Linked DNA regions of Lepisosteus oculatus. The protein of the gene in region 2 purifies or fractionates together with the protein of the main gene of each other region. This does not show direct contact. Links are inferred from orthologs where the notes say so. Each region holds a gene or a part of one and is shown on either strand. Other genes may lie near its edges.

Evidence for each region.
Region 1: the proteins of nipsnap2 (region 2) and trifunctional enzyme subunit alpha, mitochondrial purify together in Homo sapiens (affinity purification with mass spectrometry; 3 studies listed by BioGRID and IntAct, with this or other methods). This does not show direct contact. The link is inferred for Lepisosteus oculatus from reciprocal best matches to the Homo sapiens genes NIPSNAP2 and HADHA.

Annotation. Positions count from the first base shown.
Region 1 is NC_090697.1:47,017,613-47,025,821, forward strand, and holds the start of trifunctional enzyme subunit alpha, mitochondrial, read left to right. Parts: upstream 1-4,826; 5' UTR 4,827-4,869; coding exon 4,870-4,936; intron 4,937-7,703; coding exon 7,704-7,745; intron 7,746-7,830; coding exon 7,831-7,901; intron 7,902-8,209. Other genes in the region: hadhb (trifunctional enzyme subunit beta, mitochondrial), read right to left, coding at 351-450, 628-672, 1,202-1,298, 1,708-1,749, 2,135-2,201. UniProt on the Homo sapiens protein: Mitochondrial trifunctional enzyme catalyzes the last three of the four reactions of the mitochondrial beta-oxidation pathway.
Region 2 is NC_090721.1:5,712,169-5,720,375, reverse strand, and holds the start of nipsnap2 (protein NipSnap homolog 2), read right to left. Parts: upstream 3,518-8,207; 5' UTR 3,490-3,517; coding exon 3,380-3,489; intron 2,205-3,379; coding exon 2,065-2,204; intron 1,848-2,064; coding exon 1,802-1,847; intron 1,012-1,801; coding exon 917-1,011; intron 375-916; coding exon 304-374; intron 1-303. Other genes in the region: nf2b (NF2, moesin-ezrin-radixin like (MERLIN) tumor suppressor b), read left to right, coding at 7,615-7,704, 8,018-8,143. UniProt on the Homo sapiens protein: Protein involved in mitophagy by facilitating recruitment of the autophagy machinery required for clearance of damaged mitochondria.

The DNA.
Region 1 (8,209 bases), on a different chromosome or scaffold from region 2:
ACCAATATGCGTAGCGGCGAGACGGGAAAAAGGCCCGGGCTCATTAGTGCAAAGGGTTCAGGAATGCCGTATAGAAACCTATGCCCTCAGGGAGCGGACGTGGGGCGCCCTGGTGCTAGGCGGGTCTCAGGACATCCGAACGTCAATGCTGAGCGAGGACAGAGTGCAAGACCCGGAAATATATAGCCCAAGGGAAAGAGAGGGACAGGAAGGACAGCAGACCGGAAACTAGGGACAGGACAGAGAAGGAGCGCCCTCTGGCTGCAGAGGGTGTGACACTCATAGAAGCACTCCGCATGCATGAACAAAAAGCAAGGAGGGTTGAGATCAGTCTGAAAGTTGATCGTTACCTCTCTGGCAACATTGCTGGTCTTCACTTCCTGGATTACTGTTCCATAAACAATATAGTCTACAGCAGTTCTTGGGATGCCAGTCTTGGTGATGAGCCCCCTGTTGAAAGATGGTTTAAAACTGTACTAAAAAAAACACCTTTTTGATTGTACATATATTTAGTGTTACCGAATTTTCATATTGCCGTTTCCTGAAATCATACCCATTACCAAAGACATTTTCTTAAACGTAACCCCAAAGGAATATTATTTGAATTTTACAATTCATTTTACTTACTGCAACGCTGCTCTGGCCAAGTCATGAGGCATCAAATCACTATACCTAAAAAAATGTCAAAGAAATTTTGTCTTAGCTTGAAGGTAGATAATGACTGGCAAAACATGAGCTCTAATTCCCAACGTTAAGGGTAAAAAGATCACTTAACACCCAAACAGCACAAAATAAATACAAGCGTGTTAAAAAAAAAGCTGAAGGGTACAGCTGTAGCCTCAACTGTTAATACACTACTAGGCTATTTCACATGCATTAGCTTGTAGTCCTACTATCACAATCTATTTAAATATTTAAACGAGCAGCACTTTTATTGACTTCAGGAAAGAAGAATATGTCCTGAATGAACGGATGGGTGGATGGAGTTTACAATTCAGGTGTGTTAAGCTGGATTGTTCTTTTTCAGGGGAAAAGCCTTGTAGCATCTTTTGTCCCACCCCATCGGAAAAAAAAAAAGAAAAATGTTCTGCACGTGAAGAAACAATTATGTTTTCTTTGGGAATTAATCCATTAGTTTGAATTAGTTTGTGCATTAATAACTAAGAAAGATTATACTAAAGACATTCATATTTTTACTTACGTTGTTCCAGACTGCAAAAAAGGGGTGCGCACTCCTTCAACTAGAACGATATTCTTCACACCAGGTTTTGCCAGAGTCTTTTTAGTTTTGGGTTGTACTACAATAATAAAGACAAAACATTCAGAACATTTCCATTCTTACTAATACTAAACATAAAAATAAACTTAACCAAAATAATTGATGGTATTGTCAATCTAAATCATTAAACACATCTTTTGTAAAACACTTTTAAACTTTAGGCACAAAAGCACCGGTAAAAAAGTAATAAGGATCTAGCAATTAGAACAACACAGATTTAAAATATTACATTCTGTCCTTCAAAAAAGGATTTTGAAGAATCAAAGATTTCACACCATAAGAAAGGATAATTTACTTTTAGTCTTCTGGAAAGTACTGTAATTATCGATAAATTATTTTAATTCAAAACCCCCAAAGGTAAAATAAACATTTTGCTAAAAAAACACTTTTCTTTTTTGCACAAATGGCACAAAAGAATTAGACTATACCTTGAGCTTGTAAATGTGATGTCGTAGTCAGTGATCTAGCAGCTGATAAGGATGGAAAATACAAAATATTTCCAAGATTAATTAAAACATCCATTGTATATACACTAAAACCTATATTTAAGAGCTTTCCAATTTTTGTTCTGATATTAGCTATTTTTAATTAATGTAAGAAATTGAACAGATTCAACTCAATGCAAATGAACTGAACAAATTCTATGCAAATGGATTGACGTTATTTTCTGATCATGTAGTTACTGCAGAAATAAATTAGCACAACAGAGCAAATGCTCTCCTCCTGTTCTAAGGTTCTGATCTGATAATAGAAAGGGTAGCTGGAGTGAAACCAGAAGATACCAGACTGGAAATCCCAAATGACAGACTGATTTATTCTGAATTTTATTTTTATAACCTGTTCTTTTTTTCTTACCAAGTTTAACAACCCAGGCAGAATTTACTGGGCAGTTCCTGATGCCATGTGTCAAAATGGATGCCATTTTTGCTGTCCTAAAATGCAGAAGAAAAAGTCGTCAACATTCATTCTCCTTCTGTAAGGAAAATGTAATAGAACCCTGATCTTTTTCACAGTTAATCCTAAGATTGTTAAACAAAGTATTTCACTTACACTGAATGATCATAAAAATCCAGGTATGATATCACGACTTTCCGTTTATGAAGGATTCACAATTTTAGGAAATGCAAAATTTACCAAAAAAAAAGGAAAAACTGATTTAAAGCTTGTTTGTAAATGCATATATATATATAGAGGTCTTAAAAAGAAACAAAACACTAAACTAGATAAATAAATATCTAATAATGTTTAGTGGGGTACAAGTCAAACAGCCCCCACTGTTTTCTGTAGCATTTAATGAACATAACTACAACTTGTCTTCCCTTTTCATAAATGACAACTTCACAACAGTATTAAAGCTTTAAATGCAAAACAATCCACCTGCATTATTTCAATAGTTTTATTTAAATTCAGCATGATGTTTTTTTCCGTGCCTTTTACATAGCAACCACATGAACCTAAGTGAAAGGTTGTTCTCAAGATAATAAGCTTGATTTGTGTGAGAAGAGTCATTTCTTCACATAAAAAGCAGCAGGGTTACAAAAACTTTATAAAACTGTACCAATCCTAATCTATTAAGAAAGAAAATAAAAAAAATCAGTTCAATAATGGCCTGCGACTAGCCCATTTCGTGGTAAGTACTAAAAGTACAAGAATCTCAACCAGCCATTTATTTAAAGAATCTAAGATATCACAGCTTCAGCATGGCTGGGTAGCTTGTTCCAGACTCCCACAACCATTTTGGTAAAGAAGTGTCTCCTGTTCCTGTTTTGAAACGCACTTCTTCTTGTGTCCAATGGTTCATGTTTCACTGTTCATTCTGAAGGATTCTGCTGGGTTGACACTGCCAATGCATGTGAGGATTTTGAATCAGGTTCTGGATAATATCCCCCTATAGCCTTCTCTGATCATAACTAAAAAGTTCACGTTTCTTCAGCACTATAGTGTAGGACAATCCCTTCAGCCCCACAATGTTACTACTCCTTTCTGGATGGATTCTAGAGTAGCAATATCTATTTTATAAAAACATGGCGAGTTAAATTGTATACCATATTCTAAATGATGCTGTCCAGCACAGCAGACATATGACAGGTTTTGGTGTCAAAATTGTTTGACTTCATGGTTGACCTTAATGACATCTTTGAAGTGTTTTTTTTTTTTGCCTTCTGCTTGAGTGTATGAAGTTGTCTATCCAACTTCACACACACAGGGTATTCCAAATGAAGTCTGCATCACACAAATGTTAACATAACCCCCTGAGTTAAGTTCTACTCTTTTAAATATTTATCCTGCCATTTTGATAAAACGATAAGACAGTAAACTGTTCTGCAACGTCACTGCCTCAGTCTACACAAAGAAGCTGCATTCTGTTCTAGGAGACTCAAAAGCATTTTAGTTATCTCTCAAGCACTTCTATATATTTGACATTTAACTCCACCTTTTCAGAAATTCAAGGTAGTAAAACGCATACGGAATTCATATTGTACATTATATTCACAGATCGGGTGTTCCGGAGTGAGAGTTTCCTATCTGGGTGGAAGCACCGCCCACAGCTACACTTGACCTCTCACCTACTTCTCCAACCTCCATACCACACGAGCCTCTGCAATGAAACAATACATTGCAGTTCATTTTGGTTGGAAAAGTAAGGTCTGTGATAATCCAATCCACACAATTCAAGAACTGTGTTCCCTTTAATGGTTACACAAATCCCGAGATTAACAAAAAAGTGGGGCACTTCTTACTGGTAAAGAGAACTTTCAAACGATGTTGGAAATGCAAGGCGCTTGCAAAAATAATACAAAATCTGGCTCCGACAACGCTCGCTTAATTTGGCACGATTTTCTCGATCTAGAATAGAAAATGAATTATTCACATAACGTACCAAATCATAACCAACCTTTAAAAAAATATTAATCAGTTATCGAAAACAGTACCGATTGCAACTTATTGATCATTGTATTTCATTCACATAAAGATAACATCTATACGAACGATGCAATGTTAAACTATTAAGTAAGAGGAGTGTCACTGAAATAGAAGCGCCTGAATTTCAAATTACTAATGTGAAAACTGCAACGCAATGATTTGCACCTGATGTTTCCCCATGACTTAAAAAAAAACAATGCATGCTGCTTTACATACTTCTCTGCTTGTTTACACATGTTTTAGCGCTATGTCTGAAAGCATTACCCGATTTCTTTTCTTTCTGGCGAAATACGCTCACCTTGTCCGTAACGGAATACTCACACGCAACACCCAAACCCTGACTGACCCGGACACAACAAGCCTTACAGTTGTCTCTCTCTAAGGACCTTCGACAGGTTGTGCTTTCCCAATCCTCGCCTGACATCCTTGTGCGGCTCGTTACATTAATGAAATAATAGTAGGAAATTGAACAACAGTACAAACTGGAAACCTTAATAATTTAGAATATTTAGACTTTTATATATATTTAAATTTTACTTTTAGAAGCTTTCTCTTATGTTTTGTCTCAGGCTTATCTGTGGTGTCCTCAACAGATATTAATACTGAAGGTCCTAGTCTGCTTGCCAAAGGTTGTTCTCTCCCTTGTCTGAACTTGACTGGCAAAGATGGCTGGCGTAAGAGCGCTTGGAATACTTTCCAGGTTTGCAACGAGCAGATATTCACTCTTTTCAGGTAACTGAATATGTTAGCTTATTAAGATGCTGGGTGCCACCTGCACCTTCCTCTGTTGCCATTATTGTTTAAGAAAAGAGAAGTTTCTTGGTGCTGGATGAGTGGGTGTACAGTATGCAACTGAAGCAGGTCTGCATTGACCTTTCACCTACTTAAATAGTGACAGTTACTTTGATAGAAATGCACACAGAAGTCATAACATAAGGGTTTTGTTGTGTCTATTGTAGCTGATGCATATAAAATTGAATATTTTTTCTAAGGCAATTTGTTCCTTTATGCGTTTTGCAGTTTTAATTCACCCAGACGTTGCTCTCCTTTTTATTTTTTTCGTGATTGATTTGCTTTCTTTGAGTCTTAAAGGCAATTTCATTGAATTTAATCATGATTATTAGCGTTCTTAATAGTTAATGTTTTGGATTTTTGTAATTCTTTGAAGTAAGTGATTATAGTGCAGTACTACAAACAGCAACGCTAGGAAAAATTAAGACTTTTTCTACACACTGAGCACAAAGACTGAACACACACCAATGTACTCAGTCTTACAGTTTTTGTTTATTCTCCGTAGGGTGTGAGAGTTTTCTTTCCTTATGTGTATTGCATTCAGTTAGTTGAATATGGAGATTTGGAAAAAATACCAGAATGCTGTTAATCACTCTGCAGTAATTAAAGTTACCTTTTAATATGGAGGAGCATTCGTTCTACTTGACTACTCAAACACAGAATTGCTAAAGTATTAAATGGGGTGCCGTGCAGTTTAATATTCAGTGTTAATTATAGTGATCAACTTCTGTGCCTCTGACTTAAAGTTCATAAAAAGCCTATAAAGTATATTCATTTAATTTTTGGAAGGCAAGGGGAAAATCGATTTTATTAAGGCACACTGAGCCTATGTGGAGTGAAAACGCTGTTGCTGTACCTTCTTATACCTTAACATTCATGTCACTGTGGCAAGAGAAAATCACTGCAGTCTTCAAAACCCTTTCAGTTTAAGGCACTTTTTTATTCTGTAAAGATGGGAGAAATCAGTTCTATACGAGGGAATATAGATATTTCATGAAAGAGGTCAGAATATTAACAAAAGTTGATATTGTATGGAAAACATAAAACTGCTAAAAAAGCTATAGGAGCTAAACCATGTAGTGCTCTTAGGTCAGTGCCAGTTAAACTTTATTAAAGTAGTAAAATATGATTATTACTCTAGTTTAATACATGTGTTTTATGGTGTTAACATTTAAAGGTTATTCAGGTAGAGCTGTGTTCCATATTTCACTTTTTGGATTTCCATTTTAAATGATAATTTGATTAACATACTGCAGATTAAAATATTCTGTAAAATATTTCACTTGTGAATGTACTGTAACCTTGATTTAAGCAGTGGCCATTACTAAGCAGTTGCCATTGCCAGTGGTATTGATCTTGTGCTGTGTCACATGTTAAAAAGAAGGACAAAGGTCACTTTCTGCAAGCTTTTTATCTTTCCACCTATAAAAGGAATTTGTGTCAAAGTTCATTGCCTTCTTGCATCAAGTAGACTTGACGACCCCAAGTTGACCCCAAATATTAAAGGGACCACTTACTTCAATGTGATTTTTCACTTGACTTTCCATGTTAAGAGTTTTTTTTTTACTGTTTAGCATTTGTATTATTGAAATGCAAGCTAATTGAATATATAAACCTATACTAATGCAATATTTTAAAGCATTTAAAATGCTTCATTAAAAATATTTTTTTTTTATTCCTGAATGACAACTGTTTTGAAGGTCTTCTCATTTATACTTATAAATGTGACGCATTTGTTTCCCTCAGCCTTCTATATTTAACACTACACATCTTGCCATGGGTATTTTATGAATGTAGAAAGAGATTTGTCCCCAACTAGAAGCTGTAGTGTGTCAGCGGTCACTGGGTAAAATGAATATTAAGGTGTTGAAACAGCTACAATTATCCATCAAGGTTACAAACTAGTCTGATCAAGTACCACATACTGGACTTAAAATTTTGTTAAATTCCAGGAAGTTCTAGAAACATCCAGCAGATAATGTAACAATGTTTTGCATTTAGGGAAAGTTAACAAGGACTGTAAGCAAAAAGCATTTGAGCAGGTGTGGTTGAAGAGCACGAGACCAGACTGAACGAGCTACAGCCAAACAATTCAATGTTAGCACTTGATTCTGCCTTGATGAACCAGAACTTGTGAAATACAGGAGCGCTAAAAGGACTTCTTTTAAACACAGGGAAATGAGCTGTACGGCCAAATTTAAGGAGCTAGTTAAGAACCCATTCCGAAATCCACCAAGCAAAGTTTGTTTATTAGGAGTTTTGATTGGGACCAAAATGTGTCTCTCTTTTCCTCCGTTTAAAGGCAGGCTTTGCCATAGATAATTATTTGGTTTGTGAAATTCACTCGGTTTATCTTGATTGAGATGTATGTATCCTTCAACATGAATGATGCATTCATAGTCTTTTATTTAATTAGCTTGCATTTTGTGCTTCAGATAGTGTGATAAGTTTGTCACTAAAGCTATTGCCTATTTCATTGCTACCACCTTGAGGATAGTACATAAAAAAAGGCCACATGACCTTGTTCATGTGAGTAATTCACCTGACGAATAAGGTGGGTTATTATTCATCTTTAATAAATGTGCTGTTTCTCAGATTGTACTGCCTTGTTTGAAAGTGAATCTTAACGTAAAACCTTAACTACCTACTTTTGCTATTAATACCCCTTATATTATTATTCCTCATAAGTTTTATTTTCTTTCTGTAGGTTATGCGTGCCGCAGCTTCACAGTTTCTTCTGCCATGCTAGGTAACTATGGTCATAGTCTGTTATGTTGTACAGTATGTTTTGTTAATATTTTGTAAAATGGTTACAAATTTTGTTTTCCCTACAGTTCGAACCCATGTCAACTATGAAGTTAAGGGAGATGTTGCAGTTATACGAGTCAACGACCCAAACTCCAAGGTACTTCAAATATATCATTAGACTTTTTTTCCGATATTTCCAGCTTTTTTCTGTTCTGTGTTTTAAACGCCTAGTTTTCAATTGAATAACGTCAAGCTTTACTTTTGATATTAATTTGACACTAAAAACACAATAGCAGCTATAAGTGGACCTTTGGTCTCATTCACTGTCAGTTTTTTTTATCCTAACCAATAAGGACACCCGGTGTAACTGCTAAAGACTGGACATACGCCAGCAGAATCACTCTTTTATACCCACCTACAAAACAAAGTAGGAATGTATTAGGTTTATGAAAGTAAAGAACAATT
Region 2 (8,207 bases):
TGGGAAAATCAATTAATATTCAAGCGCCACATACTAATTCTAGCTCATAATTCTAAATGTGCAGTACCTATAAAGATCGTGTGATTACCTGGAATAATCATAACCCTCCATACCTGTGAAGTCTGTAATATTTTCTTCCCAGCTTCAAACACAATATTGAAATCAATAATTTAAATCACACATGAAGCCACAAAAAGCTGGCAAAGACCAGCCTGTTTCTCCCTTTTCCTTTCAGAGATTGTAAGTCGAAAAAATAGTGGCGTTATTTACGTTTTGTATACGGATGAAGAAAGGCTCCAGTACCTTGTTTTGCCTAAGTTTACTCATTACTTCAGTTAGTGCTGGGTAACCTCCCTCATACCTCCACAGGTGAACTAGAAAACAAAATGCAGAGCACTTTATGTTACTTGATGGTTACTTCATTATGACCACATCATTGAGAAAGTATTGCTTAGTAAACCAAGAGCTATCCATGTATCTTGTTAGTTGCCGCTTGTACCAATTCAGGGTCGCAGGGGAGCCGGAGCCTATCCCAGCAAGCAACAGGCACAAGGAACCCAGAACTATTTCCTCTTCAAATACCAGGAGCTGCACTGCTCTATACAGACAAGCACAGACATACAAAAACAAGCAACTGCTGTTGTCTTTTCTATCAAAAGAGCAGTTCTCAGTACGAGTTTGCTGAGAGACAGGGGCTCATTTGCAGTGTCATGATGGAGTAGTTATACCTGATATTCTACAATCTCCTGGAAAAATCAAAGCATGACATTTTGACCTGGTCATACTATGGGACAGCACTAGCTAATAAATTGTGGCCTAAGGGGTGTAGCATTATGTATTCAAGTGTACAAGTAGGTTTACTGGTAAAACAGACTGCAGAAGACATTGCATGCTGGGTACCGGTGCTGTCCCCTACCAGCCTGATCCTGCTCCCCGTACCACGTATTCCAGGTGCCCACCAGCTCACAGGGGTAGTGCTTATCTGCATGGATTGATGGCAAAACCTCCTCGCTGTATGGAGAGTTAAATTAGTCAAACACTTCAAAGGCCATTGTCTCGGGCACAAAGCTTTTGCTTCACCTTCACCTTTGTCACTCTTGCTCAGACAGACCCCTTCCTCAGCTGCATCTTAAGTGACTGCATTGTCATTTCTTGCAGCTGCTGCTGCTTTACAGTCCTTGCTGTCGATTGTGCTTTTGCCTAGTGTTATGATCATCGGATTGTTCAGTTAGGAAACAGTCCCCTACATAGTCATAAGCCAAAACCATCTGCTTCCATATTCATAAAGAGCTCCCATGTGCATTCTACATGCCAGGGCACACTAATTCCTTTCTGTAAAGTTAAATGGTGTGCAATCTTTATTTAAATATGATCCACATATTTTTCCAAATCATCTTTTTTAAAGAGTTTTTCAAATTTGTTAGCCTACTTCATGCTTTTTACCTGTGTGGGTACAAGCAGGAACAATTACCAACACCGTGAAACAGCAGGATAAAGATCTATTATTCATTGGTCTGCAGTTATGAATCACCAAGAAGCTTTGTAATAAATGAATGAAATCAGGCATATTCATACCTGCAAATACATTGTAAATTCATAACTGGCTCATGGAAACATCAAAAGTTCTTGTTTTAAATTTTTCAAAAATTCACACATTTTATTTTTTTTTCAAATAAATCATTCCAAATGTATCGGGTGCTATAACACACTCTATGACATAAAATCCCATCACGCTCAGTTTAACTACAGCTATACAGATGTTCCTGTTTTTGCTTAGCAAGAATGATAGCAGAAAGCTCACCAAAGTTTGTTGTAGGCATCCAGGCACTCAGGTTTTACATTGTGAACTGGAAACAAAAATAAAAACATTCAAAAATTTGAGTGTTCCTCTTAAGTTAAGAAAAGTAAATAGCTAACACCACTTTTTCTCTACTTGTGGCTTTTCACAAAGAAAAAAGGTCTTGATATATTACACTAACAACAAGCCTTTCAGAATAACTTGCCAACATGATGTTTGTTGCATCTGGTAATAGCAAGGAATACAGTGATGAGCAAGGAACTTACACTGAATTTTGTACAGGTTACTGGTTTCCTTCTTAGCGAGGAGGTTAGAGTGGGCGTCTTTTCTCGGATCAACCTTTCGGACGAAGAGAGACTTGAACCAGCTGTCCTCCCCATTCCTGTTAGTAGACGCTGACAGGGCTCTGAAGGCAACAGTGAGAAGCCAAGAATGTCATTGGTACTGAGACAGGTTTTACACAAGTTTTAATACACTCGCGCCTGAAAGTGTGCATGTGCACCATAGCAGAAATACTATCATAGCAATATATAATACTTCCAGAAAAGCCACGTTAAAGTTGGAGAAATAAAAAAATATATAACTAGAGGTTCATTTACACCTATTTCGATCTCCAGTGAATAATGAGCTCTCTGTTGATTGATGCTTGTAAGCACATCGCCCACATCTGATTAGAGCTCCAGAAACTGAAATCTGAAATAACCAGCCTCCTTCCCACCCTTAATAGTGATGAGGGATACTGAAGGTCTATGAGGAGAAAAATAGCCTGAAAAGTCCCCCCACCACTACCTTCATAAGCATTTTTGGAGGTCATTAGTGTTGCTACTGACCGGGCCTAACCTTGCTGTGGTACTGAGGAGAGACTCTATGCATATGAACACATACTGTATGACGACAGTGGTCGTAAGGCGGAATAGTGTTTCAATTTTATTATAAAATGGGAATACGTCCAATATCATAATCGGTGTTACTGAATCTAAAAATAATACACATATGTCCGGATAAATCAGAAAGAATGGCATAACTAAAAATAAATATCACATAAGCCTAAGTACTACACTGAATAAACCACGCAGAAAACACTGCGTTGACAAAAAAAAAGTGTCAAGGTCAATCACATAATTAACGGTGAAAACAAAGAAAAATGGTAGTCAGTGCCCTCCTTACAACGGTAACCATGTATGCTCAGTAAACAAAGACATTTATAATGACCTTGAGCTGCAATTGGATAAACTGCAGGCACACCACCGACAAAAACTTCCTGCGAGATAGTCGGCCTGTTTCGAGGTCAATATTAAAAAGGGAAACGAAAGGAAACAGGAGGCCCAAAAGTATAACTGGTGTTGCTTTAAGATAAAGTTTTAAACGTTGTTGTTTTTTTTATATCTCAGCGCAAATTGCACACAGCCCAAACAGGGCTGGAAGCGCATTATTTTCCCAACCTACACTACAGTTTGGAGGGGGCGGCGACATCGGCTGCACAAAAAAAGCATGGACCTAAACACGCAGAAAGAGCACCTTTAGTATGAGAGAAAAAAAACACCGCGATGTTTATTACAAACTGCGCGGAAAGAGACGAACCTGGAGACGAAAACGAGCTGTCCTCGGGCTCGGACCCTAGTTCTTGCTTGATTCAGGTCGGCCCCCAAACTCCGAAGGACTCGAGTCGCCATCTTCCTCAGGCTGAGCATTTCCTGCCACTGATAACGACGTAACAGATTATCTGAATCAGGAAAGCCATTGGAGGGCAGTGAAGGCAATTTATGCAAAGAATCGACGTGATGTCTAAGGTCCTGAGCTTTCATCTTGCAAATCTGGGGGTACGCTACTCCAAGAAAAGACTTGTTTTGCTTACGGATGGTAACTGTCCGTAGGGTGCAACCTCACATTTTGGAATGGTCTTAAGATTGCGAGGTAATCATGTTTTGAACACGTGCAATTAGGACTAAGAAGAGAGAATAAAACGTTCGAAGTGTAACTGTTAAAATATAGATCACAAGACTCAAGTGAAGCTAGAAATACCTTTAATGTTTCAAAAAGCTTTTTAAATTAAAATTAGAAATGTAATTTACAATGGTAATGTTGTGCTAATAACATACAGGGAATTCCCTTAGTAACCTAGCTATATCATATACAGTATTCCCATAAATGGAGAAAACAATGTTATATAAACAACGCAGTTAACACAGAAATCATCAACATCGCAATTATATGTTGACAATTCTGTATTCCAACCCAAATTGATTTTCTATTTTGCCAAAACCATCAGATATGTAGGGAATTCACTAAACATATTTTATATGTGCAACATACATATTCTTCAAAGGTTTTAATATTCAAATCATTTCATTTATTTGACATGGGAGTGCCAAGGAGAGTAAGTGTACTGTACAGCATAGTCTCGAAAAAATGATGTTGTAATATTTACAATTCAAAAAGCTTACTGTAGCTCCGAGCGCATCATTTAACCAGATAACTCAACTGAGAATTCTCATTTATAAAGATGATCTGGAGAATACCGATTTATATAATTTTGCTATATACTGTAGTGGGTCAGCATGTGTAAATTACTATACCTTGCTCAAGGGTACAATCGCAGTGCTTCAAATTTTTCACATTAAAAAAGATGCAATTTTATTTAATAGCTAATCAAAGAATCTTGATTCCATAGAGGTACATTTTATACAATTGATTTTTTAACTTCTAAATATTAAAGCAGTGCCGTTGCACAACAGTATATCAGAAAGCTTCAAAGGAATCAAGTACAAAAGAAAACTGTTTTAGCTGTGGAATCTTCTTCAGGCATGAGGGTTCATCATACCCTATTCCTCAGCTATAATAAAATAATAAACTTTATTTTACATAGTACCTTTAAAAGTGGCTACTCAGAGTGCTTTACAGAACAAAACAAATGCACAGTGAGAGGAGACAGTTCTTCTGAAACCTAAAGACTGCAGTTCAAATATTTTTTTTCTTTCTGCTTTACTTTTCCTGTTGGAATGAACTCTGCTTGTTCCTTGATTTACTTTTCAATGTGCTAACACATTTTCACATCTGAAAAAACTAAATTAAAACAAAAATCGATCAAGACAGATATGGACATCATGACACATTGCAAAAAAAAAGTTTATTTTTAAAATGACTTTTTCAGACTTCAGAAGATTTCTCTGGAGTTTTGCTTGATGCTGCTGTGATGTTCAGTTCCTGGAGCTTCTCGGTTAAAGATTCAGCGGTAGTCTCTGTGGAGTCTGAGAGGGGCTCCAAAAACAGGCTTCCAGCAACCTGCTTCCCAGTGAGTGGGTCTACAACCTTCCCAACCTTATACACAACTTCTGCAAGTTCATGCTTAACGTGTTTTGACTTTTTCTCAGGCAGTGCCTTCAAAAGAACCACGTCTCCAACAGTGCACTGTTCCAGAGCGTCGTGTGCAAAATAAGTCTTCCTTTTGTTGTAGAACTGTGAATGACATGATATACCATAAACCTGATGTTAAAAATTGGACATTTTGAAGCAGCAGTTTATGAACTGTTATGAACTGTCAATGCAAGTTCTTTACAATACCAGAATTTGTACATCATTATTTAGAATTATATCCACTAGTTTAACTTAATTCACATTAAATCCACATCTAATCAACTCTGTAATCTGTTTTTTTTGTTTGGACATTCATTCTTTTTCTACAAATTTAAAACAATATCCGTGCATTTGCTAAACTGAGACTGGCATATATAGATAGAACATTTTCATCTTGTAGACATCAGATTTTTTGCGATAGTTGTCGCCAAAATCAAACAGATTCAAATATATAATATTTACCTTCATCAGATACCGATCCAATACAAGTCTTGTCACTCGAACTTTTGCGGTTTTCTGCATTTTGGTTCCGATCACCTTGCCTATTATCCATCTGGCGTGGACTGAGGCTTGTTTTGCAGACATTCTGACAGCTTTCAAAACCTTACGGAAAAGTAAAATCAGCAAAAGGTCAAAACCATCGCGGATCTTAAAGGTCTTTATTGTACGAAAACTGAAAATTACCAGCAGCAAAACGATACCTTCGCCTACACTGACACTTTTTTATAATAAAAAACAACTTTTTGCACTATTGTTGTATCACATACATAATAGAATAACGAATGTAAGCGCGTTTTAAGCATTTCACTATAATATAGCAAATGTATAATCTAAATTTGATAAATCTACAGGTGATTTAGATTAAGCTAATGCTTAACTCTGAATAAAAATATCTTGCAAAAGATATACATTTTTAATCTATTGCAAAATTAGCTCGCGTAAACAAAGTGTATTATAGCAAGCACATGTTCAAAATTAGAAGACAATGATCTATTTTAAGACACTGACAAAATGTCTCCCAGATACGGAACTTCTTACCCTAAAATGTAAGACAGAGTATTAGCAAAAATACGAAAATCGATTAAACTATGAAGGTCAGGAATTCGGAAATCTCTTTCTCCATGCCTTCTGTGATAAAGCGGCGCATTATGATGACGCCATAAACAGAAACTACGGCACCTCGGAAGGGGAAAGGCGACACTTGAACAATGTCAAAACAAAACCGAGATTTGTATGCAGACGCATAGCATAAATACGCGGTATGGGACATTATATCATGTTCATACAGCAACATCATAACTTTAAAATGCAATGGCGGTGGAATGCAATCAGGTCATACACATCCACATAGAATACTAATACTTTAAAAACACTTCAGGTGTTACTAAATATGATGGATAAAGTTTGCAACAATACGATTTTAACGTAGCGATTAATAAAAAACGTGAGAAATACAGTCTAGCCTGGTAAAAAAAAAATCTCTATCGCATAGGGTCAAACCTCAGTGATATCTCTATTGCTTTGAAAAAATCAAGCAGTTTTAAAAAAAAAACAGCTGCCTGCTGTTCATTCTCTCACCTGTAGAGTGAAACAAAGCCTCTTTATCGAAACTCGTGAAGTTAATCGTTGTTACTCTATTTAAAAATAAGTTTTAAAAAATACTGAGAGATTTGGTTAAAACTTTTACTTTTATTTCCCAGAAATGGGAGTTTCGGAGAACTTTTTTGTTATTGGTCTTATTTCGTTAATATTCATCGCTTAAGGGTAAGACCTAGGCGTTGAGTACAAGCGAGCCATTCGATTTTTGCTCCGCTCGGACAGGATACGTGCTTGGACTTTTTTCCGAGGACTTGGCCTTGTGTTGTTGATCTACCGAAAAGGTATATATAAACAGAAAATAATGTACTCATTTGAACCTCTAGACAGTTTTTCTAAGATATAATAAGCCTTTTGATATTGAAGTTTGTGTTTGCTTAAAAAGTTGTAGCATATGGTCAAAATAGATTGTCTCAGTATAGTTGTTTTGATTAGTACAGTTTGGGCTGCTTTGAGTTTGTGTTTCTAATGTTGACACGTTTTTAATACAGCTGTGTTTACGAACTCCTGTTTTAAAGTTTGGCAAGAAAGACCAACTTGTTTAAGAAATATAAAAGTAAGAAATGAAAAAAGAACCAGTCGAACGATTAAAATCTTTTCTGGTCGTTACTCGAACAGGAGTAATACAGCCGAAAGCAGGCAGTTAAATTGTGTAGTCTTAATATCCTTCAAACAGGTTTTAATGCAAGGGTATTTCTTAAAAGAAAATGCACGATTTTATTTGTATTGTAAGTGTTTATATTCCTGTTGTTTCTATATTTTATGAACAAATATAACACTAAGTTTTAAGTTTATTAGTACTAATATTTAACAACAACCAACGTGTTTTTATTAATCGCTTTTTTCAGGTGGCACATAATCCAAACATGTCGATCTTGGGCTTAAAGAAGAAACAACCAAAGACTTTTAAAGTCAAAGTTATCACCATGGATGCAGAGATGGAATTCAGTTGTGAGGTACAGTATATACATAATGCCAACATTTGATAATTTGCAAGTATCGGTAACATTGTTAGTTTAATTGCGTCCCATCAGTTCATAGCACACATTGATTTGTGTGAAGGCCTTTCACAGTATGCAGGAGTTCTTTCATTTTGAGAGAGGTAGCGTATTGTTCTACACAAGCAAAAGAAAAAGATGAGGTGGTATCATCTTTCACTCCTCATAACGTGTTTTCTGTGTTAATGATGATTTTGGACTTTTTTAAGACTCATTCCTTGGTACAGAATACTAAATTCCAGCATTGATTTATTATTTGTGTCCTTTGCAGGTGAAGTGGAAAGGGAAAGATTTGTTTGATCTGGTGTGCCGGACTATTGGCCTGAGAGAGACCTGGTTTTTTGGGCTTAGGTATACATTAAAGGATACCTATGCATGGCTAAAACCAGAGAAACGGGTGGGTTCTTGTTATTTAATGGTTTTATGAGAGAGTGATATGGAAAAACAGACTCCATACACAT